Linked DNA regions of Diceros bicornis minor. The protein of the gene in region 1 interacts with the protein of each later gene in a biochemical or structural test. Links are inferred from orthologs where the notes say so. Each region holds a gene or a part of one and is shown in the gene's direction. Other genes may lie near its edges.

What was found.
Region 2: of the proteins of RELA (region 1) and SETD7, one has a biochemical effect on the other in vitro, tested with the Homo sapiens proteins (3 studies listed by BioGRID and IntAct, with this or other methods). The link is inferred for Diceros bicornis minor from reciprocal best matches to the Homo sapiens genes RELA and SETD7.
Region 3: of the proteins of RELA (region 1) and PRKACA, one has a biochemical effect on the other in vitro, tested with the Homo sapiens proteins (4 studies listed by BioGRID and IntAct, with this or other methods). The link is inferred for Diceros bicornis minor from reciprocal best matches to the Homo sapiens genes RELA and PRKACA.
Region 4: the proteins of RELA (region 1) and TBP form a complex in vitro, tested with the Homo sapiens proteins (2 studies listed by BioGRID). The link is inferred for Diceros bicornis minor from reciprocal best matches to the Homo sapiens genes RELA and TBP.

Annotation. Positions count from the first base shown.
Region 1 is NC_080770.1:7,546,892-7,554,673, forward strand, and holds the start of RELA (transcription factor p65), read left to right. Parts: upstream 1-4,772; 5' UTR 4,773-5,607; coding exon 5,608-5,614; intron 5,615-6,227; coding exon 6,228-6,254; intron 6,255-6,356; coding exon 6,357-6,511; intron 6,512-6,669; coding exon 6,670-6,818; intron 6,819-7,677; coding exon 7,678-7,769; intron 7,770-7,782. UniProt on the Homo sapiens protein: NF-kappa-B is a pleiotropic transcription factor present in almost all cell types and is the endpoint of a series of signal transduction events that are initiated by a vast array of stimuli related to many biological processes such as inflammation, immunity, differentiation, cell growth, tumorigenesis and apoptosis.
Region 2 is NC_080750.1:29,991,181-29,998,911, reverse strand, and holds the start of SETD7 (histone-lysine N-methyltransferase SETD7), read left to right. Parts: upstream 1-4,729; 5' UTR 4,730-4,791; coding exon 4,792-4,831; intron 4,832-7,731. UniProt on the Homo sapiens protein: Histone methyltransferase that specifically monomethylates 'Lys-4' of histone H3. H3 'Lys-4' methylation represents a specific tag for epigenetic transcriptional activation.
Region 3 is NC_080769.1:3,624,496-3,631,624, forward strand, and holds the start of PRKACA (cAMP-dependent protein kinase catalytic subunit alpha), read left to right. Parts: upstream 1-4,127; 5' UTR 4,128-4,235; coding exon 4,236-4,281; intron 4,282-7,129. Other genes in the region: histone chaperone ASF1B, read left to right, coding at 506-682, 1,036-1,224.
Region 4 is NC_080778.1:1,493,611-1,500,786, reverse strand, and holds the start of TBP (TATA-box-binding protein), read left to right. Parts: upstream 1-4,174; 5' UTR 4,175-4,280; intron 4,281-6,789; exon of another isoform or gene 6,790-6,842; intron 6,843-6,973; 5' UTR 6,974-7,127; coding exon 7,128-7,176. Other genes in the region: PSMB1 (proteasome subunit beta type-1), read right to left, coding at 2,340-2,452. UniProt on the Homo sapiens protein: The TFIID basal transcription factor complex plays a major role in the initiation of RNA polymerase II (Pol II)-dependent transcription.

The DNA of each region.
Region 1 (7,782 bases):
TGAAAAGGTTAAAATAAAATCAATCTATCTACGGAGAAAACAACAGCCTCAATCAGTTTTACTGGTGAGTTTTACCAATTTTTCAAGGAAGAAATCATTCCAAACTTATACAGACTCTTCCAGAGAATAGAAAAGGAGGGATTTTTCCTCATATCATTCTATGAGGCTGCTACAACTTTGATACCACAATTAAACAAGGCCAAAAAAAAAGGAAAATTACAGCCATTTCATTTACAAATACAGTTGCAAAATCCCCTCCTAAAATATCAGTGAATCAAATTCAACCATACAACACACCATGACCAAGCTGGATTTATCCCAAGAATATAGGATGGTTTACTCTTAGGAAAGCTACGTCATACTATGTTAACAGATACAGAAGAAAAATCATATGATCTGCTCTATAGATGCAGGATAAGCATTTGATAAAAATCAACACCCATTTATCACAAACATTCTTAGTAAACAAGAATTAGAAAGGAGCTTCCTTAACCTGATGATGAATACGTACCAAAAAATTGTATATAACTTAAGGGCAAGAACTGTAAAAATATACTCTTTTCAGTAATCACATTGTTGGTTGTAGGGTTGGTATTGTTATTCTGAGAGTGTTTTGTGTATAGTGTGAGATAGATCAAATGAGTAATTGGTTGGTGTCATTGAGAACTGAGTCTTTTTTACTATCGTAAAATATACCATTTTAACCATTTTTGAGTGTGCAGTTCAGTGGCATTAAGTACATTCACATTGCTGGACAACCATCACCACTATCCATCTGCAGAATCTTTTCATCATCTCCAATAATCACTAACTCCCCTTCCCATCTCTGTCCCCATTAACCACTAACTCCCCATTTCCCCCTCTCCCCAGCCACTGGTGACCATTATTCCACTTTCTGTCTCTATGAATTTGACTACTTTAAGTACCTCATATAAGTAGAATCATACAATATTTGTCCTTTTTTGTCTGCCTTATGTCACTTGGTGTAATGTCTTCAAGGTTCATCCATGTTGTAGCATGTACCAGAATTTCATTCCTTTTTAAGGCTGAATGGTGCCATTGTATGGATATACTACACTTTGTTCATCCATTCATCCGTCCGTGGACATTTGAGTTTTTTCTGCCTTTTGGCTATTACGCCGCTGTGAACATTGGTGCACAAATATCTGAGTTCTTGCTTTCAACTGTTTTGTATATACATATACCCAGAAGTGGAATTGCTGGATCATATGGTAATTCTGTTTAATTTTTTGAGGAACTGCCATACTGTTTTCCAAAGCAGCTGCACCATTTTACATTCTTGTCAGTGAGGCACAAGGAATCCAATTTCTCTACATCCTTGCCAACACTTATTTTGTTTTTCTGATAATAGCCATCCTAATGCATGTGAAGTGATATCTCATTGTGGTTTTATTTGGGTTTCCTTGGTAGCTGTTATGTTGAGCATTTTTTCATGTGCTTATTGGTTTATTTTATATCTTCTTTGAAGAAATATCTAAGTCCATTGCCTTTTTTTTTTTTTTTTGGTGGAGAAGATTGTCCCTGAGCTAACATCTGTGCCAATCTTCCTCTATTTTGTATGTGGGACACCACCATGGCATGGCTTGACTAGCGGTGTGTAGGTCTATGCCTGGGATCTGAACCCGAGAACCCCAGGCTGCGGAAGCGGAGCGCTTGAACTTAACCACTACGCCACGGGCTGGCCCCTTCATTGCCCATTTTTGAATTGGGTTGTTCAGTTTTTTTATTGTTGAGTTGTAGGAGTTATTTATATATTCTGGATATTAATTCTTATCAGATACGTGATTTGCGAACATTTCTTCACATTCTATTGATTTTTTTACTGTGTTGATAGTGTCCTTTGATGCAAAAAAGTTTTTAATTTTGATAAAGTCCAATTTATCTATTTTTCTTTTGTTGCCTGTGCTTTTGTGTCATATCCAAGAAATCATGGCCAAATTCAATGTCGTGAAGCTTTCCCCCTATGTTTCTTCTAAGAGTTTTATAGTTTTAACTCTTTAATTTAGGTCTTCAATCCATTTTGAGTTAATTTGTCTATGGTGTAGATGGTGTTAGGTAAGGGTCCAACTTCGTTCTTTTGCATTTGGATATCCAGTTTTCCCAGCACCATTTGTTGAAAAGACTGTCCTTTCCCCATTGAATGGTCTTGGCGCTCTTTTCAAAAATCGTTCAATAAAATTTAAAAAAAAAAAAAAAAGGGCCGGCCCGGTGGCTTAGTGGTTAAGTGCGCGCGCTCTGCTGCTGGCGGCCTGAGTTCGGATCCCGGGCGCGCACGGACGCACCGCTTCTCCGGCCATGCTGAGGCTGCGTCCCACGTACAGCAACTAGAAAGATGTGCAGCTATGACATACAACTATCTACTGGGGCTTTGGGGGAAAAAAATAAATAAAATTAAAAAAAAAATCATTCAACTATTATATGTGAGAGTTTATTTCTCTGGGCTCTCTATTCTATTTTTTTTTTCTCCCCAAAGCCCCAGTGCATGGTTGTGTATCCTAGTTGTAAGTCGTTCTAATTCTTCTGTGTGAGCCACCCCGACAGCATGGCAACTGAAGATGGGTGGTGTGGTTCTTTGACCAGAAACAAACCGGGGCCACGGAAGCAGTGAGAGTGCTGAACTTTAACCACTAGGCCATCAGGGCTGGCTCTCTATTCCGTTTCATTGGTCTATATGTCTGTCTCTATGCCAGTGCCACACTGTTTTGATTACTATAGCTTTGTAGTAGGTTTTGAAATCAGGAAGTGTTGGTCTTCCAATTTTGTTCTTCTTTTTCAAGATTGTTTTGGCTAATCAAAGTTCCTTGAGATTCCATATGAATTTAAGGATGGATTTTTCTATTTCTGTAAAAAGAGAATCGAGATTATTATTGACATGGGAGAAATATGTAAGGTAATTGAGTTAAAACTCTGTAATCCTAAATTTGAAAAGGAGATGTCAGTATGAACTTCTAACGCATGTCATATAAAAATATATATATATTGGCTAACTGTTCACTGAAAAGGACTACAGTGACTGACCCAGCTACAGTAAGTGTCCCTGGCACTCAGACTGTGGTCATTTCCCACGAAGAGAAGAACCAGGACTCCTCAGAAAGCTGTCTGATTCCAGACCTTGGACACTACTGGAATTGTGTCAAAAGGACTAAAGAATCAACTTGAAAAGGTTCCCAATGGCCACAGACGGAACAATCTGAACTTCAATAAGAATAATAATTGCAATAGATTAAAGCACATCAAATATGTATAAACCCATGAATTCATTGATAATCTTTTTAAATGTTTATTGATCGATTTTGGAGGATGATAGAGAACCAAGGCATTATTTTGAAAACTGATAGGGCCGGCCCTGTGGCTTAGTGGTTAAGTGCGTGCGCTCTGCTGCTGGTGGCCCGGGTTCGGATCCAGGGCGCACACCGACGCACTGCTTCTCTGGCCATGCTGGGGCCATGTCCCACATACAGCAACTGGAAGGATGTGCAGCTATGACATACAGCTATCTACTGGGGCTTTGGGGGGATAAATAAATAAATAAATAAATAAAAAGAAAACTGATAAAGGGAAATTCTATACCCTAATAAATCACTTTTAGGTATATACCCAGGAAAACGTATACAACAGGAGACATTCACAGGAATGTTCTTAACCACACTATTTATTATAGCAAAAAACTGGAAACTCAAATGGTCATCCTCAGGATGAATAAATAAATAAATGGTGTGTGGTATATTTACACAGCAGAATAGTATACAGCAGTAAAAAGTAGGTATGGATGGAACCATGAAATGGATAAACCTTGGTAACATGTTGAGTGAAGAAAGCAAATAAAGGACAAAAAAATATGATACTCTCTTCATAGAAGTTCAAAACTAAGCAAAACTAAACAATATATTGGTTAGGCATGTATATGTGAGTGAATTTATTTTTCTTAAAAATTTTTTCTTTCAAAAAAGTCAAGGGAATAATAAATACAGAATTCTGGATGGTGGTGCCCCCGACACGGGGGATAAGGAAGGGAAGAACAGGTTAGGAGCACAAGGGTGGATCTAAGTCCTGGCCGGGTTCCATCGAGCCCCTGGAGTTTTGCAGTGGGTACACTGGAACTCGATGTATTAATTTAAAAGTTATAAACACATACGAATTTTTAAAAAGAGGATCATGCGAGGATCAATGACGATTGTGTGTCACTAACCAAAGATTATAATTAATCTATTCTGTCGACCTGAAGTTGGCCTCCTCAAGAAAGTTAGCAGACTTTTCTAACGGGGCCAGCCACGTGAGAAACTCAAGTGAGTGGGAGGGGTAATAACTATTTTCACTTTTCTCTTCCTGTTTTTTCAGAGCCTGGGAAAGCAAGTCAGAATTTCCAATCTTTTCCAATTCCCACATGATTCCCTAATTTAGAATGAATTTAGAGAATATAAAAAAGTCTTTCTTCATCTGGGGAAGGCTCCACCGCCTGCCATGGAGCATCCTCATTCTCGGATGAGGAAACAGCCTGGGGTGGGGGGCGCTCTAGCCCCCTCCCTCACCCCGCACGAATGCGCCTTGGGGTTGGCCTTGGGGACAATACTCCCGCCGAGGGCTTGCATGACGGTTAACTGCTGGAAATGCTTTGGCCAACGGTTAAACTCTAGCTGGAGGCCCTGGGGAGGCGGGCGGGGGGCGTGACCCAGCGGGTTCAATTGGCCCCTGGGAGCCCCGGACCTTCTAAGACACAGGCGTCAGGCTGCGGAGACGAGGTTCCGGAGATTGACCCCAGGGCGCCTCCTGCCCAACCTCTGCCCCAGATGGCTGGCAGGGTGGATGCATTTTAAACCGACGAGCCCTCGGCCCGCTCGCCGGCGGGAGCGGACGCGGCGCGGAGCCTCGGTCGCCCCTTGCGTGCAGTGGGCTCCGGGAAGCCCGCGATCCAAGCACCGCCAGGTGGAGAGGTCCGGGCGCTTCCCTTTCCCCGTGCTGCATCTCGATCGGGGTGGCCAGGAAACTAAAAAGTGCTTCTGCGGCGACAGCCACCAAGAGCACATTTAGCGATTAGGAAACCGTGTGGAGGTCAGCCACCCGGCCTTTGCGGGCGAAGCAGGCCCCGGGCCTTTCCCTGCGCAGGGCGGGCGGCCGCAGCCCAGCAGCCCTGGCTCTGCTCCAGACCCGGCCCTGGGTGACATCACCAAACTCCTCCGATCCGCGGGAGGGGGCCCCGAAATCCCCTAAAAACATTGTGAGTAATCGCCGGGCCCGCCCTCCAGGAGGCCCAGCCCCAGGAGCGAGCCAAGCCGCCCCGCCAACCCCGGGAGCAGCCTCCGGGCGGGTAGCCTCTTCGTCTCCCGCGGGGCGCACGCTTGTTCCCGGCCCCCGGCAGCACGGCGCGCGCGGCCTCTTCGTCCTCTGCGCAGCAGGCACTTGGCCCCAGGCCCCGCGGGGCGGCAGCAGTGGCAGCGGCGGCGGCGCAGCGCGCAGGCGCATTCGGATTCCCGGCAGTGACGCGGCGGCGGGCGCGCGCGGCGCATTTCCGCCTCTGGCGAATGGCTCGGCTGTAGTGGGCGCCGCGGGCCCAGCTGCGACCCCGGCCCCGCCCCCGGGACCCCGGCCATGGAAGGTGAGGGCGCCCTCCAACCCCGCGGGTGGCCGCGCCGGGGCCGCCGGGACCGCGGCGGGAGCCCCGCGCCGCCTTCCGCCCCTTCCTGCGCCGATGGGCGCTGCGCAGGGAGCGGCCGGCCGGATGGTGGCGCGGGGCGGGGCAGGCGTTAGGGGTCTGACTCAGTTTCCCCTCTGGGTGGAGGGGGTCCTGACTCAGTATCCTCCTGGGGTGGGGGTGTGGGGTGAGCTTTGACTCAGTTTCCCCCCGAGGCCCATGGAGGCAGTTCTGACTTAGTTTTCTTGTTAGGGGAGCCTGTATCTGACTCAGTTTCCTCTCTGGATGGGGGGTGGGGAGTGTCCTCCCTTAGTTTTCCTTATGAAAGTAGAGAAGGACCTGACTCAGTTTCCCCCAGTAAAGGGAGGACGCGAAACCCAGTTTTCCCTCGGGAAACAGGTGTTTCTGGCTCCTTTACCCCGACCCCTTAGTTTTACTGCGGCTTCCAGGTAGCGGGCCCTGACTCAGTGTCCCTCGGAGGGAGCCTCGCTCCATCTCCTCTCCGTGGGGAAGCAGGCCCTCCCTCGTGAGGATGGGAAGTGGGCTTGTGCTGACACTTGTCTCCCTCCCCTTGCAGACCTGTTCCCCCTCATCTTCTCCTCGGGTAAGTGGACCATCCTTTCTCAGTGGTTCGGGATGAGCTCCCCCCGGGGGTTAGGGGCCATGGGGTCAGCCACCTGATGGAGGCGGGCCGGTGTCTCCCCAGCAGAGCCAGCCCAGGCTTCTGGCCCCTATGTGGAGATCATCGAACAGCCCAAGCAGCGGGGCATGCGCTTCCGCTACAAGTGTGAAGGCCGCTCAGCAGGCAGCATCCCAGGCGAGCGGAGCACGGATACCACCAAGACCCACCCCACCATCAAGGTCAGCACTGGCTCCCAGGGTTGCGGGGGAGGCACAGAGTCATCCGGGCAGGGCTCTGGAACCCCAGCGGCCTTGCTTCCAGACCCCTGTGCAACCTGTGTCTGGGAGTTGGGTCTGCAATTCCTGAGCCTCTAGGATGCTCTCTGTACTTTGCACAGATCAATGGCTACACAGGACCAGGAACAGTTCGCATCTCCCTGGTCACCAAGGACCCCCCTCACCGGCCTCACCCCCACGAGCTCGTGGGGAAAGACTGCCGGGATGGCTTCTATGAGGCTGAGCTCTGCCCGGACCGCTGCATCCACAGGTGAGCTCCCCTCGGACAGCAGAGGAGGGAGCGGGAGGTGGGAGGACCAGAGAGGGGGCAGTGTGTAGCTGTCACAGTGTTACTCCTTTCTGGACAGAGGGCTGAATTCCTCCCCAGCTCTGCAAGCAGATTCCCTTTGTCTTGAAGTTATCTGTTTGTGTGTCTACTCTCAAGCAGATGTGAGCTCCATGGGATAGGGATGGGTCCTTAATCACCTCTGAACCCCTAACCCCTGTGACTGGAGGGGCAAGTCCCTCAGTGTCACATCTCTTGCAGTAAGGAAGAAAACCACTGGACCAGCAGTCTCCCCTGGAGCTTACATACCAGTTGACAGAGGCAGGCCGTAAATAAATATACAAATAAATAAACAAGATACTGTTAGTAATAATTTCAGTGCTGAAAATAAAACAGTAATAGGCTGGAGGAATAGCCCGGAGTGGGGGAGGCGGGGGAGCTGGTCTCATTCCTTTGGATCAGGAGGTCAGGAAGGCCTCTCTCGGGTTAGATTTGAACGGTGAGAAAGCAGAGAAGCACAGAAAGAACATTCCAAGCAGAATGAACAAGTGCAGAGGCCTTGAAATGGGAATGAATTTAGTGTGTTTGGAGAACGGAAAAGAAGCCCCTGTGGCTGAGGGCAGGGAGCCAACGGGGACTAGGGCTAGGGCCAGGTGGCCGGGCACGGGCGTGTCAGCCAGAAGAAGGAGTGGGTGTCATTGCAGCACAGTGGGAAGCCATTCGAGGGGGTTAAGCACGGAGTGATCATCTGGTGAGTGGGTGGGAGAGGAATGGGCAGACTGGGCGAGGCGGGAGGGCCCAGGCTCTGCTGGAGACAGTGGGACTGATGCCTGGGGGGCCTCAGCTTCCAGAACCTGGGGATCCAGTGTGTAAAGAAGCGGGACCTGGAGCAGGCCATCAGTCAGCGCATCCAGACCAACAACAACCCCTTCCAAGGTGAGGGGTGAGG
Region 2 (7,731 bases), on another chromosome or scaffold:
CTTCCCCCATGCCCCAAAAGGTCTAATTTAGTTTACTGGATATATTGCAATGACATTAACACGTTACAAGAACAAGAATCAAGTGAGAGAGAAAAAAGAAGCTTAATGTGGCTCGAGGTATTTTAATGCCATGGCAACTATGATGTCTTCTCTATTAATTCACTTCCTCAGGTCAGGTTATTCTGCCCTCTCCTGCACTTCCTGTTGCCGTAATCAAATCAGGTCACCCTGAAATCCTGAGTCCTCTTCATGACTGCAGTCATGTCTATTTCCAGCAGAACGAATTTTCTCCATCTCTTCCTTTGCTCCCAGACCTTTATTTGGTGCCCTTGATGTTCCCGGTTGCTCTTCGCTGTGCTCCACAGGCTGTAAATGCTTCCCTTTCATCCACATCTCCTCCCCCACACCCTCCTCCTCCTCGCTGCTCATCTCCCTGCCCCTCCCTCCAGCTTCTGCAGTTGTCACTAACACAGTTAGCCACTTGATTAGTGACTCAGAGATTCAGAAGCCAAGGACCTTGGTTCTCCTGAAAGGCCTGTGCCTCTCCTCCTAGAGCAAGATAAGGTCCCTCCTTCACCCCAGATCTCAGTGCTATTAAGTTGAGATGACTTGGGAACTTGAATATTCCGTTTGGTAGAGTTGCCCCGTCTTCTTCCGCTTTCCTTTTGCTGTGCACATCCTGGGGCTCTTCATGCTCTATTTAACTTTTTCCCCGGAAAGATGGGCAGAGGTTTGGGCTTAGAATTTTTGTAGCCCAACCTCCCCATTTACAGGTGGGGAAATTAAGATACAGAGAGCTTAAGTGACCAGTTGCATAGCTAGGTCTTGGAGGAACCAAAACAAATAGGGTGAAACCTCAATCAAATTGGTGAATTTAGTGGGGAAAAAATCTTGTTGAGGGGTGAGTAGTGCCAAAATGAAGAGTTCCTTTACTCATCTGTCCTTGTCTCCCCGCTGGCAGTGTAATCAAACCATCAAAGCAGAGTTGGGACACGAGCCATAGATCCACCTGGAAACCTAGAGAGGCACCTGCCTCCCAGGAGCATGGAGACTCGGAAAACTGCCTGGCCTCCTCCAGCCCCTATCAGCAGGGCAGGATGAGCGGTCAGTGACAGCCAGCACTAGCGACTTCCACATGAGTACCACATACACTAGGTTTTTCGCAATTTGCCAGCGCGTATAGTGGTGAATTGACAGAATTGTTTCCCCTAAATGTAGGAAGGTGCATAAAATACAAGATGCCTATAAAAATCTATTTATTGCAAGAGTTATATCAGTCTTATAAGTAAGCATCAGCCTTCTCTGGGGAAAGACATGGGTGGTAAAATGAATAAAATAACTCAGTATTTTGACTGCTTGCTGCAGTGGAAGAGGGACTTATGTTTCCCAAGACGAGTGTGAAGAGAGGGATATATTCTTGGATACAAAGGAAGCCAGCCACAGCAGCTTAGAAAAGCCACTCCTTGGTGTGGGCATGGAAACAAGTCCCACCCCTGGCAGGGCCTGGCTGTTGGACATCCTGTGCAGTCTCTTTCCTCTCTGTGAGGGCTGGTTCTGGCGCACTGAGATCTGCTGAGTTAGGAGCTGGCCATGCTGCTGCTGCTGCACATTGTGATTAAGAGCTTTATTGATTTTTCTAGCCCATGACCACATTGGTGGGGACAGAATACAACAGAGGAGGATGGCAGGAAGCCAAGTGGAAAGAGGGTTTATGAAATGAGCTCTCAATGAAGAAAACTGTGGGAAAGAATGCGATGGAAGCAGATTTGGGGCCAGTAGATGTGGGAAAGTAGAGCAACTCAAAAACGCTCTTCAGACTTTGCACTGAAGCAACGCACTTTGCCAAAACGCAGGAAGAGGATCCCGTCTGTGAGAAAGACTCAGCACTGTTTATATAAAACAGAATATTCCTCTCTGCAAAAGCATCACTGACAAAGCTTATCCTTCATTCTGTACCAGGCACTGTGTTAGGTCCTGGGGCAATAAATAAGAATCAGCCAGTCTAGAGAAAGGGATGGGAAACATACACAACATGATTTGTAAAACTGCAAATGCATCTGAAGGGAGTCATAAAAACATTCTGCCTAAACTTTGGGCCCAGAGCCAGCAGGAATGAATGGTGGCAGAAGGGGGACAGGACTGTGTCCTGGCTGCTGCCTGCCTCATGTGCAAATCTGATGGAGGTTCTCAGGGAGCTTTCCCTCCTGTCACTGCCCATTCTGTCAGGAAGACCCTGGTCACTTCCCACTCCACCCCTTCAGGTCCAGAGGCCTGCTTCAGTGATGGGGGCTGTGTGCAGGGTTTTTTCTCATGGTAGCAAGTGCAAAGGCGGCACTTGACAGTTTGGGTGTACAGTACAGGCTGGGAAAACATCAGAGCACCAAGGGGATGGCTAGACATTCTCCTCTGATCCTAAAGATAGGGGCAGGACACTTGTGACACAATTCCTCTTCCTGCCCCCAGGTACCCATTCACCATGAACTTGTGTCTCTGTGGTTCCAACTGTGTGTTTTGAGGGGAGATTTCTTCCACCCTCCCCTCCCCCTGCCTCAGCCCCCTTTGAATAAAGGAATAAATTCTTGTTGCTTCCTTTGGCTTTCAGCATCTTTTTTGCCCCTGAAAATAAACTGGAAACTGGGGAAGAAGATGGGTATCTGGTGTATTTGGTACGTCAGTGTAATGTGTAAGGGAAGAGATGATATGTTAAAAAAGAGAAAATAAGAAAAATTATCATATAACTCAAAACCAGTGAGTGATCATGCTCAGTACATGATGGCGTTTTTGTTTTTGTTTTTTTTTTTAACTCAGAGATAAAATCTTGTTTCTGTGGTTCACCTTTGAAAATGATGTTAACCTGAAGTGGCTCTTTGATCTTCCACTGCAGGAACACCTTCTCTGTGTAGCTTTGGAGGACTGCACTGGAGGACTTTAAGGAGGTTAAACTTAAGCCAGAAGACTTCAGAGGGGTGTAGACTAAGCTGGGAGACCTCAGAGTGGTCTAGGCTAAGCTGGAGGGAACTTATCCCAGTATAGCCTAAGCCTCTTATCTCCTGGAGGAGGAATTCGGGCTGGCAGGGGTGGCCTCCCAGGCCCCTCCGCAGGTGAGCAGCACCAGAACCGAAGTCTCCTACCTCCTGGTCCAGGGCCCTTCCCTGTCTTTCTAAAGCAGTCAAAAGGGGTTGAAATTCCTGGCAGTGTACGGGGCAAATGTCCTTAACATCATTCTCTTTTTCACAGAGGAAAACTGAATTTAAGAAGAAACTCAGAATACTCGGTGAAAAACACCTGGCATTTAAGCACAGAGCCAAAAGAAAGGCGTGGTCTCCCGGGGCTGGAAGCACTTTGAAATCCCCAAAGACTCATTTCAGTTCAGAAAACAAAATGGAACAACTTTCTTTGCTCCCTCCTGCCCCCTCCCCCGTGCAGTAGCTGTTCTTGGCAGAGGCCCAGAGCAGCACCGGGTAATTCCACGGTACATTGTGTACATTTGCATCCATTTAACCAGCTATTTACAGCCGCCCTTTACCGCCACCTGTAAGAGGCAACGCCATAATGACACTAAGTGGCTAGGCTGGGAACCGGGTGCCTCGCGATTTCCTCCACTTGAAGAGCCCGATTCTGTGGAGTGGTTGGCACTCGGAGCAACAGGGAGACAGCTGGGGACATCACACGTACAGGGCGGGAGGCGCGAGGAGGCGCGCCAGACGGAGGGTCCTTCCTCGTTAGCTCCGCTCGGTGGCTCCTTTTCCGTTACCACCATCGCGAGCAGGAACCTGCCGGGCCTTCCGTGCCGCTTGTTTCCTGCCTGATAAAGAGCCCGCTGCCATTTGGATTTGCTGAATTTCTGAATCACCCGAGACGCCCGGCGGTCCCGAGGAGGGTGGGGACGCGGCGCGCCAGGGTGGGAGCCGCACTCCGGCGGCATCGGGGCTGGAGGACACCCCCTTGAGTCTGGGAAACCTGCTCGCGGATGTGATGCGGCCCGGCGGGGACACCTGCGCTCCGGTGCGTGCCGCACTCGTGCAGCTCCGGGTGGCAAACGGGGTGAAGTGGGGGCGAGGGCGAGAGGAAGCTGAGGCGCCGGAGCGTCGGAGCCGCTTCCTGAGCTTCCCTTGCTCTTTGGAGGCTGTCCCGAGGGGGGCCGGCGGGCACCGCACGGCGGACTGCCAGGTTGCCCACGGCACAGTTGGAGGTCAGGAGTTCTGAGCCCCCCGAGCGCAGGTACCCCGCCACCCCAAGTGCCCGCGAGAAGCCCGCGGCGCCCAGGACCGCGTGGCGCGCTCGGAGCGCACCGAGCCGCGAAGAAGCAAAAGATAAACCCTGATGGGCCGGGGGCCGGGTGGCTGGCGCGCCGAGTCAGCGCGGACAGGGAGCGCCTTTCGTTTTAAGGAGCCTTACTTCTGGGAAGGGACAGGGAACTGTCAATCAGCGAGGGAGGGAGCGCACCGGCGCTGGGTGATGTCAGCGGATCAGCTGCTCCATAACAAAGAGGGGGTATTACAGGAGAAAGTTGCAGCGGCGGCGGCGGCCACGGCGGCACCCCGGAGCCCCGGAGGCGAGGGGCAAGTGGGCGAAAGGAGGGAGGACGGCTGCTGCCGCAGCAGCTGAAGGCCAAGGCATTGAAAGGGCTGTAGGGGGAGGCAGTGCGAGCCTGCCCCGACTGCTCCTCCTCTTCCTCCTCCTCCTCCAAACTCGCAGGGTTCAGCCCCAGCGCTCGCTCAGCCGCCAGGAGCACCCAGAGGGACGGGAGGCAGCCGCGCGGCCCCGAGCTGGGCAGGGTCCGCAGCCGCCATGGATAGCGACGACGAAATGGTGGAGGAGGCGGTGGAAGGTACAAGCATTTCTCTGGGGCCGGGGGAGGAGGCGCCGAGGGCTCGGAACGCGGAAGGAGTGGCGGGCTGCGACCCGCGCGGCGCCGGGCCCCGCGGTCGCCACTGTCCCCTGCGCGGGTGGCCCGTTGCCCGGCTCGGCAGGGGCCAGTCTGCCACGGCCACGCCGCCGGGAGCGCGCACTGCGCGGCGAGGCGCAGGCCGGGAACGGGGCTCCGCCGGGCCGGAGCCCCCGGGAGGGCACGGCTGTTCCATCCCGCCTGGCCACCGCCTCCATTCGCCCTCGGAGTTGCGAAACCTGCCCCGCACTCTGGCCTTCCCCCTTTTGGGGATTGAAGGGGGGGGGTGCGCAGGAGGACAGCCCCCTGAGACCCGAGGTCTCTGCGGAGCAACCCCCCCCGCCCGGTTTTGGCAACCCCGAGCCCCTGTCCGGCCGCCAGCCCTTTTCTTCCGCTCACCGCTGCGACCCGGGGTGACCGCGGCGGCGTTCGGGTCGGTTCCCCTGCGCAGCGCACAGGGCCGAACCTCGCACGTGGCAGCAGCGGCCCGAGCGGCCGCTCCTCCGAAAAGATGAAATCATTGCAGGGCACTGGACGAGACTCCAGACCCGGGGCTCGAACGCGCGCCGACCGGGAGGCGGGTGGCCCTCTCCTCTGCTGCCCCCGAGCGAACTCAGTCACACCGCCCCCTCCCCCTTCCTGCTTCCGAGCCCGGGCCGCCGCCACGCTGTGCAGGCGCGCCGCAAGCCCGGGCCGAAATTGCTGGGTGACACTTAACTTTCTGAATTCCATGCAGTTGGCTGCGGGTGATATCACCGCCTTGGTGTCGTGTTTCTCCGCCCCTTCTCTTCTAGCGCCCCTCCCCCGACTTTTCTCGCCACTTTGTTTTGCTGAGTTTCTCCACCTCTTTTTTTGCTAGTTCTAAAAAGCGAGGTGGGGACGTTATACAATCTCGTTGTTTGTGTCATGGGATGTTATGATTTTGTAACAGCGAATCCTGGAAGATACTCTTGAGCGTGTTTATTTATTTGATTCTACCTCAGACTACGTCGTGATGTTTTGCAGTGTTGTGTGGTATTATTCCAAAATATTTTAAACTAAGCATCTAAGTGAATAATTTTTAGCTTTTGGTTGAATCTGGTTTGTGTTTAATTGGTAGAAACAAATTCTCATAAATGGTAAAGGAAAACAAAGTGGCAACACTGTACAAATGCATAAGGATACATAGTCATTGCTACTGTGGGAGAAGAAATTAGTTGTTATGTTTTTATAAAACATAATTGACTCCTTTTGCAGTGCTCCTGGGGTCTGAGGATGAGATTAAGTGGAATAATATTTCTGAATTCTCTAAAAGGTATCCATTCTAATGTAACTATTAAAACATTTCTTCATCCAGCTTTGAAAAGTGTTTGTTGTTTTAATTTCACAATGTTGTGAACTCACAGAACTATTTATTTCTCTAATAAGTAAAGCCAATGTTGGGGTTTACTGGGGCCCAAAGACATTGTTTGAGTTGATCCATTGGAAGCCTTCTTATTATTTAAGTTATTGACTTCTTGTGCCTTCATGTTATGAAAGATAAATGAAAAATGCTCTTCTCAAATTGTTAGGGCTTGCTCTCATTCTTCAAAGTTTACTTTTACTTGTAAAAATGTCATGCAAACCTTTGATCATGGTCCGTGCTCCCCGGGTTAAACCACGTTCCCCTCTGAAGCTGTCTAGAAATATAAGCCCCAGTTGTCCATGGTCTCCAGGCTCGCTGCAGAATGTGAACAAGAAACTTGAGAAAATATATCAGTGTTGTTTTTGAGCTTGCCAATGGATAGAAACAGAGAAAGTTCTTTATATAAACAAGGAAAGTTCTATTATATAGAGTGACCATATACGTTATTGCCCAAAATCAGAACATGCCTGAGAAGGAGAGGGGTCACTATGGATATTCATGCTGGGACAATTGGCATACGCCTTGAATGTTTGGGGCAATCCAGGACACGTGGTCACTCAGCTGTACCTACCAGTAAACGATTATAGTAACACAGACTTTTTAAGTCCTTAAAAGCTTCTAAGGCTCCAACTCACACAGTGTCTACAGTATGCATGAGTACTCGCAGTAAACTGCACCAGTGGGCTTTTCTCCAGCCCTGCTTGGCCTTTTTAGTGCCGTCCGGAATAGTCTTTAGTTAACATCTAACACACGCATGGGGACTAGTTTAAAGCTAGTCTGAATATCTTGGTGTTTAAGTACCAACTAACCTACCTCTCTCCATAAACAAAGCCTCTGTTCTCAGTAATTTCATTGTCTTAGCTATTGTTATCATTGCTGTAATTGTTTAGTTCTTATTTTGTACAGGCTCTGTGCTAAATGCCTCACACGCACATTATCCATTTAGTCTTAGGAGGTGGGTACTAATATTATCCTAATTTTGCAGAGGAGGGAACTGAGGCATGGAGAAGTTAAGAACTACTCCAGGGACACTCAGTGGGGAGTGGGAGACCGGTTTGGACCTCTAGAACCCCACTCCACTGTACCCAACTGTCTTCTTCCATTTTTCTTATTTTTTATTTTTAATGAGTCAGCCAAATATATGAAATACTTGGTAACTGAGTTTGGAAGCAGCAGTTAAGTATTATGTCAGTAGCACTCTTTATCAGTGGTAATTTTTTAGAGAGTTGGTTCTGATAGAGTTCAGTGACTTTCAGAAAAACACATCTAGGGAAAGAATTTAACTTACAGCCTCTGCAACAGACATCCTTTTTCTTCCTCCTTAGAAATTTACTCTAGGGAAGAAATTGGTCTCTTCAGGACTTGAGTTTAAGTGTCTTTTGTCACATCATATCCGTTTTGGTTCTCTGTCGGGGTGGAACTGTAGCTTGGGTGAAGTTGTAAACTCAGAGCGGATGAA
Region 3 (7,129 bases), on another chromosome or scaffold:
GTCCTGTCCGTGACAACACCCTGGAATCTGGCCACCTCTGTCTCCTCTGCTGCCCGGTCCAGGCCACAGTCCCCCCTTGCTCCCATCTCGGCTCCGCAGGCCACTGCGGTCTGAGTGATGCAGCACTCACCTCTTGCTGAATGTTCTTGCTTTTTCTCTCCCAGCCCTTAACTGGCCCACCAGGCCCTTGGTGGCCTGGTGCCACCTGCCCACCTGTTCAGCCTCATCGTATGCCACCCTCCCCACTACACTCACTACACTCCTCACTACACCTTGCTCACTACACTCCTCCCCAGCCCCATTTACTTCTGTGTGGCACCCATCACGTTCAGCATTTCACAGGCATTTACACAATTGATTCTGTCTTCCCCACTCGATGGAAAACTCCCAAAGGCAGAGACCATGCTTTGGGCTCAGTGGACATGTGTTGCTTGAGAAGCATTGTATTGCTGAGGAGGTGTGACTGCGGCGATGGATGCTAAGACCCAGGATGTGTTTCCCCTAGGCCGACGCCCCCAACCCGTCCCTCATCCCTGAGACCGACGCCGTGGGGGTGACTGTGGTCCTCATCACCTGCACCTACCATGGCCAGGAGTTCATCCGCGTGGGCTACTACGTTAACAACGAGTACCCCAACCCCGAGCTGCGGGAGAACCCGCCCCCGAAGCCGGACTTTTCTCAGGTGGGACCGGCTCTGCACCGCACCACCTTTGCACTGCTGGGGGTTGAGTCATTGAAACTTGGAGCCAAGGTCACTTCTTAAGGCTTTCAAGTAGTGCTCAGATCTTGCAGCGCCAGGCTAGAACGGGAGAGAGAAAGGTCTTGGTTTCTCAGAAGCACACCTTGCAGAATCAAGATTAGATAGGTGGCCCTAGACTGTGGGGTGGGCATCCCCGGGAGTGGCACACACAGCTGTGGTGGTGGTGGGATAAGCCAGCTCTGCTTGTCCTGGGGGAGCGGGGCAGGGGTGCCCTGGCTCCGCAGGAGTGATGAGAGGGCATGCTGACCAGGGTTGACGTTCCTTTTTCCGCCCAGCTCCAGCGGAACATCTTGGCCTCAAACCCCCGGGTGACCCGCTTCCACATCAACTGGGACAACACGGACAGGCTGGAGGACCCCACCCTGGGCTGCGGCCTCCCCCTCAGCTGCACTCCTGTCAAGGGCTTGGGTCTCCCTGGCTGCATCCCCGGCCTCCTCCCCGAGAACTCCATGGACTGCATCTAACTGGGGATCTAGGCCAGTCTCCTGGCACATCTGGAAGGGGCAGCGGGGCCTCCCAGAGAGTCCCCTGGGGGCCATGTGGAAGACTTGGGGGCCGTCAGCTACATCCAGGCCGGTTAAACTTGGCCCCGAGGAAGGAACAGGCCTCACGTCTCCCAGCCCTGGCCCAGAAGGATCATCTCACCTCTCCTGCCCAGGCCTGCAGAAACAGGTGCTTCAGTTCTTAGTTCTTTCTGACTGTCCCTTCCCTCTTCCACAGGCACTGTCAGTTCCACCTGCGGGTCATTGTGCCCCCGTGCGCCCGGGAGTACCATTGACCCAGAGCTCTTCCCACAGGCCTCCCTGGCCTGCTTTGAGGCTTCCTTGGTCAATGCCTGGCAAGGCTCTGGCCCTGTTGGGCCAAAGGCTCTGTCATTCATCTCCCTTCCCAAACTACCAAGCAGAATACACCCAGCTTTCTGGAGTCACGGGCAAGGAATCGTGGTTTGAAGGTAGACTCGGACACAGTTTCTGTCCTCCTGGAACAATTTTTAGGTCTTGTCAATCCAACAGCCCCTGGAAAACTCTGTTCGCAAAAGTGTGATCAGCAAGATGCTGAGGAATGATGGCTGATTTTCTCAGTGACAGCTACCTTCCTGTTACCTCCTAACTGGATCTGGCTTTCCCTGGAGGCTGCCACTGTGGGGAGATGGCATGTTAGAGGGGCCTTCTCTGCTGGTCTGTCTCAGTGTCAGCATCAGGGCCCCTTTGGGGGCCTTGCTCTGCCCTCTGCTAAGACCCCACAGGCCACAGAGTGACTACGGGCAGGGGAAGCACCAGGGCCCCTGAAGTCCCCCACCCCCACCAGGCTCCCTGCCGCGCCCCACCCCCTTGCTGCTATGTGGATGTTGTTGTGGTTGCAGTTTGTACATTAAAGGGTTTTTATATTAAATATGTTTGGTTGGTCTAAAAATAAAAAGCATTTGATCTAGGCTGATTGTTTCTGCTTCTGTCTTGGGTGGGCTGAGACAGCCTTGTCTACCTCTCCTCCTGACGTCGGGGGCCTCCTGCCCCAGCCAGTGAGTTGACTGCCCCATCCCCAAGCTCAGCTTCTTACTCGAGTCTTACTTGGTTGGATAGTTGTATTCCAGACTGAGGTTCCGGGGTGGGGTTTTTCTTTGTCAAAACCTAAGCAACCCAGCTGTTCTGTAGATAGAGCATAACCCGTGACTTTCCAGACTTTGACCTTGACCCCCAGGAGGGAATTAACATCTGTGCTCCAAGGACAGACAGCAACACTCTTATTACGTTTTACTTCACCTTTGTAACCCCACAGCCCAAGTGGGAGTGGTTTGGCTGGTGACCCATTTCCCCATAATTTACAGAGGAGCCCCACTCTTCCCTCCCTGAGACTGGCGAGCCTAGGAAGGTGGGTTCGGACAGCTTCTGGGAAGGGTTCGGGTTGTAAGTCTATAGGCAGAGCAGGGAATCAGCTTGCAGAGCTGAGCCCGGATAGCCCCTCCGAGTCAGGGAGAGCTGGCTCATCCCGTCCCCTGCCCCTCTCAGCACCTCCTGTTTGGGCCCTTGTCTACTTCAGTGGTTCTCTACTGAGGGCAGTTTTGCCCCCAGGGCACCTTAAACTATGTCTTGAGATGGTTTGAGTTGTCACAACTGGTGCCTGGTGGACGAGAGGGAGGTTCTACAGGGGTTGAGTGGGTAGAGGGACCGGATGCTGCTCAACACCCTACAATGCACAAGACAGCCCCCCAGCAAAGACTGATCCGGCCGCAAATGTCAGTAGTGCGGCGGTGGAGCCGACGTCCTCAGGCTGTGTGTGTATTAACAGGGTATCCTGAAGGAAGGGGCATCTTGCTACGTCTCTGCTTGGGGGGGAGGTAGTTCCCTCTGCTTTGCGCGGATGGAGAGTATCCTCAGCCTGACTGAGCCCCACGTTCTTCATCTGTAAAACAGGAGTGATGATACCAGTACCTGCGGGACAGGAGTGTGGTGCGAATTACCAAACGAGCGCCAGCTCTTACTGCTGGCCTGAGCCCAGGGTGGGCGCCCAGCACAGGGAGGGACACTGAGCGCCCCCTCCCAAGCCCCCTTGCTCCCGGGGCCCAGCATCCTCCTGAAGCTCGGGCTGCGGCTGGGGGAGCCCCAGGAACCACCCCCAACCCCAGCCTGAACCCCGGGCCTGCCGCTGCCCTCCTGCGCCAGGCCTTATCAATGACGACGGCCGACGGCCCGGCGACCTCTGACCCGCGGCGCCGGCCGCGCCCCTCCCCCGCTGGCAGGTGGACAGTGGCTGCGCCGGGGGGTGGGGGGGCCGCGGCGCCAACCTTGGCTGGCCGGCGGCCGCTGCCGCACTGGGCGGGGGCGGGGGACTGCGGCGCGCACGGGGCGGGCGCCCGCCGGGACCGCCCACTCGGCCTCGGAGCGCCGCGCGGCCGCCCGCCAGCCAGCCTCGGCCGCCCCGCCCGCGGCCTGGGCAGCAGGCTGCGCGTCCGCCCCGCCCTCTCACCCCGGGATTGACACTGAACGTTCTGCCAGGGGCTTGCCGGACTGGGCGCCTCCGCCAATTGGCGGCCTCGCTGGGCGGGCCCTGGGTCCTGTCGGGCACCTCAGCCAATCAGGCGCGTCGGCCCGCCCAGCTGAGGCCTCGCGAGCGCGCGAGTGGCCGGGCGTCCGCGGCGCGCGTCATGGGACCGAGAGCCTATGGCGGCGCGGGAGGGTCGCGGAGAGCCAATGGGCGGGGGCGCGGCGCCGTCAGTCAGGGCGGCCTGGACCAATGATCGGCGGGCTGCGGGGGCGTCACGGACAGCAGCAGCGGACTTGGGCTGAGGTTCCCGGGCGGGCGGGCGCGGAGGGACGCGGGCAGCAGGGGCTGGGCGGGGGTCGCGGCGCCGCAGCCAGCGCAGCCAACGCGAGCGGCCGCCGCCGCCGCTGCCGCCCAGCGCGCTCCGGGGCCGCCGGCCGCCGCCAGCACCCGCCGCGCCGCAGCTCCGGGACCGGTCCCGGCCGCCGCCGCCGCGATGGGCAACGCCGCCGCCGCCAAGAAGGGCAGCGAGCAGGAGAGCGGTGAGTACCCGGGCCGTGACCCCGATCCTGGCCCCGCGCTGCCAGCCCCCACCCTGTCCATCACCGCCTGGCCCCTCCCCCCACGCGCCCCCCCATCTCTCTCCGCTTACCCCCCAGCGCTCCTTCCTCCTGCCTGTCCAAGATTGGGGCCCAGGGCCCCCAGAAGACTCCCGTAGGAGCCCCTTTGCCGAAGGCCGCCCCCCACTGCAAAGACTGTGCCCCCCCACCCAGCTGTCACTGCCAACCATGGCACGTATGACCGCTGGGGCCTCGCATGGGAGCCTGTCACCACCCCACCCTCTCCTTTCCTGGCCCCTCTCCCCAGATTCTAACCCCCACTTCCTCACTTTTCCCACAGATGGGACCCACTGCCAGACCCCGACCCAGACATCTACCAGTCTGGGAGTGCTGTGGGGTCTGCCTCCACCCCACAGGGACCTTGGCCACTTGGTGACCACACCCCTCCCCCCTCCAGCCCCCGCCATCTTTCTCCTGCCCTTCCCCTCTTCACCTTACCACAGCCCCCCTCCAGACCCACTCTGCCCCCCTTGAGCATTTCCCAGAGCCACCTCCAGTATTGTTTTTCTCTTCTGTGTCACTTGGCATGGGGGACAGGATCTTTCTGGGTCCCTCTGCCCCTCTCTCATCCTGTCACTCTGCTTCTCTGCTTGTGCTCCCTTCTCCAAGCAAGCGTCTGTCCCTGGCTGGGGTAGCAGACTGTTTATGAACGTAGAGAACCGCATCAGTTCTTCCAAAGCCAAGTTTGAGCCGATCTTGCTGGGATTCATTGCGTCCTCCTTGCTGGAGTGGGGTGGGGGGCGGCAGCAGAGCCCCTTCCCATCTCCTGCTGTGCAGTGAGCTCTAGGATCCTTGGAGGCCCCTCAGTACATGGTTGTTTCACAACTGAGGCTCCGTCATTCACCCAGTCCCCCGGGCTTCTTCAGCCGCTCCTCGTCCGGGATGAAAAGTGGGAGATGAAGAGTGTGTTTTGCCAGACTTATTCAGCTTGAGCTGGGATGGTGAACCGGGGGACTTGGGGTGGCAGTCGGGGACAGCAGTGGGTGACATCTAATGGGTTGCTTTGCCAGGGGACAGATAGATTCTGATCACTCCCAGAGCTCAGCCAGAGAGAGGCCTGTTTCCGCCTCAGCCCCCAAATTATGTTGGCCTTTTCCAGCCAGCCAGAGAAAGAGATTCTGTGTCTGGAAATGCCTTCAGAAATGGCCTGGAGCCCCTTCCTCAGTTCCTCCAGCTCTTAAATTGTCATCACGCCAGGCCTAAAGCTGGACCTAAGCTAGGATCCCCTTCCCGTTACTCAGAAAGTCAGAGCCAGCAAGGAAGCCACGTCCAAAAACTCTCTTCCCAGTTGCTGGTCTCAGACCCCAGGATCTGAGTGTCCTGAATGCTCCCTCCCAGAAAGACCTGGGCATGAAAGCCAGGGGACTTTATTCCCATACAGATTCAAATGGCAAACCTCAGAGTCGCCAGGCAGGCATGGGGAGGCCTGATATGTCACCGATAGGCGGGGGCCGGGGAGGCCAGTGCCTGTAGCTGAGTGCTTGATGACAGAGGAGCAGGTGGGTAGTGACCAAAAAAGGTCTCAGCATGAGCTTGGAGGGGACTAGGCTGGGGGGAGGGGCTGGGCCCCCAGCAGGTGAGGCCGGCTGGGAGGTGGAAGGTAGAGGCAGGCAGCTGTATATTGCAGTGGCTCAGTTGAAAGTTGGGGAGATGACATAGTTCTGGAAAACTTTCAAGGCGTATCAGACACATGTGGTCGGGGGGGTGGAAAGCCGCACAGGGAAAAGGATCCCCAAGAAAAAGATCAGAGGCTCTGGAAGGAACCGCTAATTCTCTCAGAGCGCAGGCCGGACACCCAGGAATGGAGCATCACGATGCAATAGAGCCCATTTATCTAGGATGTGCCAGGCTAAATGGGCTCCATAGATCTGTCTGCTCCAGTGATTTCCATAACGGCCTGTTACCAGAATTTTCCAAACGAGCTGAGTTTGACATAGATGATGTCACAGAGGCAGGATTCACATCCAGATCTGCCCACCAGCCAACTTCCTGGACCCCAGAATTTCCCAGCCCAGACATTCTCAAGCCACCTCCTCCCTGATTTTTACTTTACTCACTTATGTTTTCTTAATTTAAAATGAAAACTTTGACTCACTTTTGTCCAGATGTAAACTTTGATCTGTCCTAAGCAGTAATATAAATGAAATCATGAGCTTGCTGTGCCCGCTATATTTTTTCTGATACACATTAAAATACAACGTAACTAGAAAAATTAAACATACCTAAAATCATTTCCTGCCTTGCCAGTGGGACCCATATCACCCTTCGGGAAATGCCCTAAACTGTACTTCCTTCCAGAGTCTTGCAGGGGCTCTCAGAGGAGGAAATAGGATGAGGAAGGAAGCCCTTCTTTGCTTCAAAGCGCTGATTTTCTAAGGATGGAGTTACAAAATTTGCCCTCGGAACTGGGGCCGGGCTGGGGGCACGGGCAGTAGCTAGGCCAGCCTGCAGGGGGCACCTGAATTTCATCTCCCAGACGCCAGCCCTACTGGGGTAAGGAAAATGCCCAAGCCTTACTAGGCACCAGTTAGGCATTCTGCAGCCCCCTGTGCTGCCGTCTCGGAGCCAGGGCAGGACAGCGTCGGCCCCCTCCTGAGAGGGTGGGGATCTAGAACAAGCGCTGGGGTTGAGAAGGGGGAAATCTGTACCCAAAGATGCCAAAGCCATTGGCAGGGGCCCGGGTAAGATGCTAAGAGGGTAGAGAAAAAAAGACCAAGCCCGGGCTCTGAGCAAACTGGAGGAATTGACAGAGGGCAGTGGCCCCGAGAGG
Region 4 (7,176 bases), on another chromosome or scaffold:
CCAAATGATACAAACAACTAGTTCAAGTGCCCCCCACTTTTTTTGGTGAGGAAGACTGGCCCTGAGCTAACATCTGTGCCAATCTTCCTCTATTTTGTATATGGGACGCCACTACAGCATGGCTTAATGAGCGGTATGTAGGCCCGCACCCAGGATCTGAACCTGCAAACCCCGGGCCACTGAAGCGGAGCATGCAAACTTAACCACTATGCCACCAGGCCGTCGCCAAGATGTCCATTTTTGTGTAAGCAAGTGGAGGCTTATGTGATGGACAGGGATCTGACTGTAGAAGATCCCAAATGCCAACTTAGGATTTTGGAATTTTAGCGAGGAACCATAATGCTTATATGAGCAAGAATGAGAAAAGTTCCATTTGGAAAGTGGGGTTTTAAGAAGGCTGCTGTGACAATGGGATGGTAACAGTTTTCCAACAACATTCATGCAACAAGAAGGTAGCAGCGTGGACAGGAAGAAACGATTAAAAAAAAAAAAATTAACACACAAATTGTACAAGTTTTTGTAAATGTGTTAGAAGCTAAAGAGCCAATTATGACATCCAAGATTTTAAACTTGGATGAGCAGCATGACGGTATAATTAAAAGAAGTGTAAAGGAGGAGAGGTGATTGGGAGGAATAATTAGCTTGCTTTCTGTTTTAGTATCTTCAGTTATGCTGAGAGCACAAAGTCCAGGTACAAATGTTTTATTTAAGAAACCAGAATTGAGGGACTCAGAGGTAAAATTGGAGAAACAGAGTTGGAAATTATCCTCCCACGAATGCGACATGTGACAGTGCTGAGTCACAAATATGGAGGTCAATGACTTGAAGTTTAATCACACATAAAGAAGTAGAATAGAAAAAGATATAGAACTAAGCTTTATTACGTAGAAGCAAAGGCTACCCAAAAGCCAGCAGCAATAAATGCTAGAGAAAAAAAAAAAAAAGACTGAGAAAAGGTAATTTAATAATCAGAAAGTCATAAGTAACTAACTTTTAGGGCAGTAATGGCTTAAATTGGATTACAGGGGCTTAAAAAGTGAGTAACAAGTACTGAATACTAAACACCTTGAAAAATCTTATAAAAAATTTATAACTGCTCTATGAAATGGGTCTAACAACCCATCTTACCATGTAACTATTCATTGTCACAGGAAGCGTTTAGAAGAGCAACAGTAAAAGCATACACACTCAGTGGCAATGTACCCAGGGATTCAAGTGCTGGCTCAACTTCACACCAGCTCTGTGCCTACAGCAACGCAACTTCTACAAGCCCCAGTTCATTTGCAAAAATGGGGTTAATGCCACCTAACACTTAATTATCGTGAGAATTAAAAAAGATAACCGCTTGCAATTTACAAAATGCTTCTTTCTTGATTTTCTTCCCCCAAACTACCAGTAGCTAATGAAGATAAGGAAATCTGGGTTAAAGAAGTTGAGAGGTACCCAAGACAACACTGGCCTTCAGTGGCAGAAACAAGGCTAAAATCACAGCCTTCCATTCTCTTTCCAACAAACTCCAAAAATCTGCCTTAAAATTTTTAATCCCTAAGTACTTGCTTAATTAACCTGGTTATCATAACCATCTGTTTGTTCGAATTGCGTCTGCATGCTTTCATGTAGGAAGTTGGGTTGGTATGATAACCGTTATTTCCATTTACATCGCTACGGTGATCACTCCTAAGAGTCCTAAAGAGAGCATCTTTCTACAACTCTAATTCTTTTGGTGTCCTATCAGGGGAAAGTATTACTCAAGAAAAAGCTGGTAATTTAAAAAAAAAAAAGACAACTTGAACGCAACATGGAAGAATACACACATTAAAAGGTCCCCATTCTGAGTATTTCTTTCCTTGAACTTAAGCTAAACCTTAAAAACAAGCACTGATCTATCAAACTAAATCTAGCCAACGAATCCCACCTTCTACCTAAAATAACAGAAAATGACTGAGTTGTCTGATCAGACGTCTTAGCTACAGACGCAACCATGCCTCCAAAGACGCGGACCTGTTAACTTCAGAGGCTGAATGTCCCCCCTGCCGCCGGCGTGACAAGCACGCTCAGACCCCGCGAGAGGGCGAGGCCCGTGTCTGAAGCTCTTTCAGAACAGAGCCCAGACCTCCATTCCTGTCTGCTGTCTCACCGCAGCAGAGGGCGGGTTATGCCCAGCCACCGTCCAAACCCAGACCCAGGGGACCGACCCACAAGGAGAAGCCCGGGAGAGAAGACGGCCCCGAGCGCCGCGGAGAGGGGCCCGCGGGCGGCGAGGCTGAAGCAGGGACGGGGTTGGGGGTTGGGGGTTGGGGGCTGGGGCGGAAGTGAAAGCGGCGGCCCCCTGGGCTTACCCTCCGTTGAAAGCGTAAGGCGAGAAGCGCAGCTGCAACGGGCTCGCGGCTCCGTGAGGCTCCAACGCCGGGTCTCTGCCGGGACCCGAGAAGACGGCTGCGGAGGACAACATCGCGCGGCGCCACTCCTGCTGTCTCACGGCGAGATGGCGGCCCCGCCGGAAGCTGCGTCACTTCAGGCTTCCCCGCGGCACTCCCTCCGCCGCTCTATCTCGCACCCGTCGTTGCTCCCGGAGGTCAGCGCCGCCGCCTGGCGTGTTGGTAGCGGCGCATCCCCTATTGCAAGACAGCTGACAGATGTAAAGGTTTTCTTTCCTAAGAAAACATTCGAATTCACTCCTAATGGGCAAAAATTTTAGTCTGATCATACAAAAAAACTCCTAAAACTATGGAGCAATGGAAACTCGAATACTGTATTGGAATGTAAATTGGTACAGCCAAATTTCGAAAAGGGATTGGCACCACCTAGCATAGTTGAAGATGTAGACACCTCATTACCCAGCAATTCCACGCCAAGGTGTATACCCCCAGAAGACATGTGCAAGAATGTTCATACAGCATTGCTCTTAATGGCCCCAAGTTGCAAACGAACCAAATGTCCAAAAATAGGAGAATGGATAAACTAATTGAGGGATACGTCACAGCAAGGAACATTAACCGACTGCAGCTAGAGGGAACACACATCAACATGGATGTCTTATAGCGTTGGGCAAAAGAATACATACTATATAACTCAGGAGTACACAGTGAGTAGGAAGGACCCGTTTGGCTGGGGTATGGAAGGTGGGGGGGGTGGTTCTGACGCTGGTAATACTCGGTTTCTTTACTTTATTCATAACCATCTGTTAATCTGTACATATGTTTATGCACTTCCTTATCTGAATATTATATTTTACAATTTTTAAAATGTTATTTTTAAAAAGCAAGCAAACAATTGGCTAATATAGGATGGACTACCTGATATATACATGCAATTCTGGAACCAGAAAAGACTTTTGAAAAGTACTTGGTTAATTAAAACTTTCCCCATGTTTTACTGTAAACAAACAAAGGATAAAACAAACGATTTTCTTTCATGGTTATGGACAGAGTATTGTACTTATTCAGGTACTGTCCTGGAGACAAAAAATGTATATAACATTTCCTTTCCTTAAGGGGCTCACAACCTCATTGATTATATAAAATACAAAAGAAGCAAAATCACAAGCAGTACAATCTGTGATTATGTCTAAATGAGCCATAGAAGGAGATGCAGGTACTCTGGGGTCCAACCAAGCACCCAGGAAGCAAACAGACAGAAACAAATACCGATAGTTTCTTCCTGACAAACGTGAAAAGAGTGAATAAGACGGTAGTAGCAGAATTAAAATATCATTGAATATGTAAACCAGGCTGTCCGCTTTTGTTTTCCTTATCCTTCTACATGTTTGAGAAGAGCCAACACGCACTGAGTGCTTACCGTGTGCCACAGTTCATGCATTTCCTTAATCCATCTCACAACGCTATTAGTATTCCACTCGACAGACGAAGAAACTGAAGCAGAGAGGTCAGGTAACTTGTCAAAGGTCATACCGCCAGTCGGTTTGAAAAGTCAGCATTTAAAAATCAGTATCCTGCCTACGTCCAGCAGAGCCCAATTAGAAGATGCTCGGGCAAGGCGACCTCGCCCCGGTACACCACAGGAGCTCCGCCCCGCCGCTCGCGTCCCTTAAGCCAAGTACCCAGGGAAACGCAGGAAGTGACGGAGCGCCCACACTTCACATGGCGGCCGCTTGGGCGTGGGCAACCGGCTGAAGCCGAAGGGCGAAACTGGCGGAAGTGACACTACCAACGCGCGCCAGGAGTTCAGGAGGGTCGGGAAGGGTCGCCGTGGCGGGCGCCTGGGCCGCCTGCGGGTTCACCTCGTTTCTGCGGCCGTTGGTAGTCTCTGCAACGACTCAGGTAACAGTCCTCTTAGCTTTTCCTCTTCTCTGAGGATTCGTGCAGAGGCGACCACTACAGCGAGGCCTGGGGCGATGGCGGGAGCAGACGCGGAGTGGGCGCGCGGGCCGCGCGGAGACGGCCCTCCCGCTCTTGCAGCCCGCCGGGGCCTGTACCGGCCGCCCCCGCCCCGGCTGCGTGTCGCCGGGGCCGCTTCTGCTGTGGTGCGAAAGCGGCTTCCCGTGTCCGAGCGTGGGTGCGGGAGGGCCAGGACCCGGAGTCTTCCCGTCCTGCCCTCTGTTTCTTCTTCTCGAGGTTGGAAGGCAGATTCACTCTGGCCGGTGCCCACCTGTTTTGCTACCAGCAGACGTGATTTTATTATAAAGTTGCCCTGGAGACTTTTTGAAGGTTTTTCAGAAGCCAGAGATTTGGGCACGTTAGAGCATAAGATGTAAACACACACCACTTTATTTACAAAGGCTCCCTCCTCTAGGCCCTGGACAATGTGGTTTTCAAATTTAAAACTCTAGGTAGGCTTCTCTACGAAAACATGCTTGAGTTATATAGACACTAGGGGGCTGTGCAGAATTAATTGATCTTTCTCCCTTACCAGTGATTGTGTCCAAAAAATATCGAATATGATGCTTCAATTTCCAACAGATGAAGACCCTCTGCAAACAATTTTCTTTTCTAAGGATGAGTTAGTGTAGTAATAACTGCGGTTTTAACGACACGGGTGAGGAAAGATGGTCAGCGCCGTCACTGGGAGTGAGAGATGAGCTCTGAACAATATAACATCAGGGACGAACCTAGTAACTCAGATTTCTTCTGTAGACTTGCAGTTTGCGGAAAGGGGTTTGAAGCCACCAGTTTCTGGATAAATTTCTGGTCATATTTATGAGTGCTTTAAATCCCGCCCTCCTTGTCTCTTGCCTCAACCACAGCAGTGACTGCCTTAAATTGAACTTCCAGCCTCCAGTTTTATCTCATCGAATTCATTCACGCTCTTGCCAAAGGAGATCTAGTCATGCTGCGCTTCAAAATTTTGTCACTGTTCTTGTTGTTTATGTAATAATGACTGAAACTCCTGATAATGTGACCCCATTTGTATTTGGTATCACATCCCTTGCAGGAGCCTTCCATACAGTCATGCTAAGCTTGTTGCTTGCATACTGCATGCCCTTTCAATCTTTGTCTCCCTGTGCTTGATCTTTCTTTTGCGTGAGGTGCTGATTTGTAAATTCCTACTTGCCTTGCTAGACTGGAGTCAGATGGTCCCTACTTTGTGAAAATACTTGTCAGAACACTTGGCAGTTATCTTGTCTTCTCTTGCATAGCATGTATGCATTTATTCATATTGCATACTATCTGCCAGGTTCGGTTCTAAGTGCAGAGATTGCAAAGACTTGTATGCTTTTTTCTGCACTCAAGGAACTCAGCATGGTGCATATCTGCTATTATAGCACTTAAGCTTTGCTGTACAGTAATTATTTGCATACCCTTCAAATTGAACTCTGATGCCAAGGACTATATCCTGTTCATTTTTATATTTGTAGCACTTCTATTGTTGTTAATTATAGGATATTGTTATTATAGGTTGTCAAAAAACGTATAATTTTCCTATATCTCTGATATTTTCTGAAGCTGAGTTTTTATTTTTATTTTTTTGGCCTGCTTTTTAGCGATGAGTATGTAGGATATATAATCTTTGGGGTCCTTTGTCCTTTCAAAGTGATTGTCAGATTCTTTCATTCATCCAAAAAATGTGTGTCTTTGACATAGAACTTGTAACATTAAGACCTGTGAGTTCTATGTGAGAATGTCTTATTAGCTGATAATGTTTAAGCTGAAATCTGATAATAGTTAACATTTGTCCTGTGCTTACTAGATGTGATAACTAGATGCTGCTCTTTATGTGTTAATCAGTCAATTCTGTTTGATTCAGTCGGTTCTCAGCAACCCTGAGCAAGTTAGGGATCCATGAACTAAACTAAACAAAAAGTCCCTTGGTTCTCTGGTCTAAAAGTAATTTCAAATGTGTAGCCAGTAAAGAGATGATGACTTAAGGAGAGCCAGATCCAGGCACAGTTTGTATTTGTGTGTTCTAAAGAGGTAAAGTCATTACATATAAAAAACATGATGTATTTATATTTATGTCTGTACAGCTTCTATCACAGTATTTTATTAAGGTAGCAGCTCAATAAATGATCACATTAAAGTGTATTGCATCCAATTCGATATTTATTGAACTTAACTTATCCTCCCAAGACATGATAGAGGATATAAAAACCGATTGGAATGTTTAAAAACCTAAACTTGGCCTAATAGCGCTCAGTACATTAATAGGGCTTAATACATCTATACATTGCTTAAGAAATATTTCTACCCAGATATGACAGTTTGCTCAGGAATTCATTTTCTCTGGGTGTTATTCTCCAAAAGTTTTTAATGTTGATTATGACACCTTAATTTTGAACATTGTAAGAGTATTTAAATTAAACATGTAACAAAACAATTTTTCTGTTGGCAGTTGTGCATGCAGTCACAGGAAACATAGAAGGAATAAGATTTCAGCATTATAAGGTAAAAAGAAGTGTATTCCAAAATAGCTTCATTGGTTTTTTTTTGTTTGTTTTTCGTGTAACCATGAAACTGGTTTATAAGACTGTACAGCTTACCTGTATTCTTACATTAAACTTCAAACTTTTTTCCAGGCAGCATCACTGTTTCTTGGTGTGTGTGAAGATAACCCAGAGAGTTGAGGAAGTTGCTAAGAAGAGTGTGCTGGGGATGCTCTAGGAAAAGACCGAATGCTGAGGCGAGTTGCAGTCCAAAGGGTTTTGATTTGCTAAGAAGAAAGTGAACATCATGGATCAGAACAACAGCCTGCCACCTTATGCTCAGGGCTTGGCCTCCC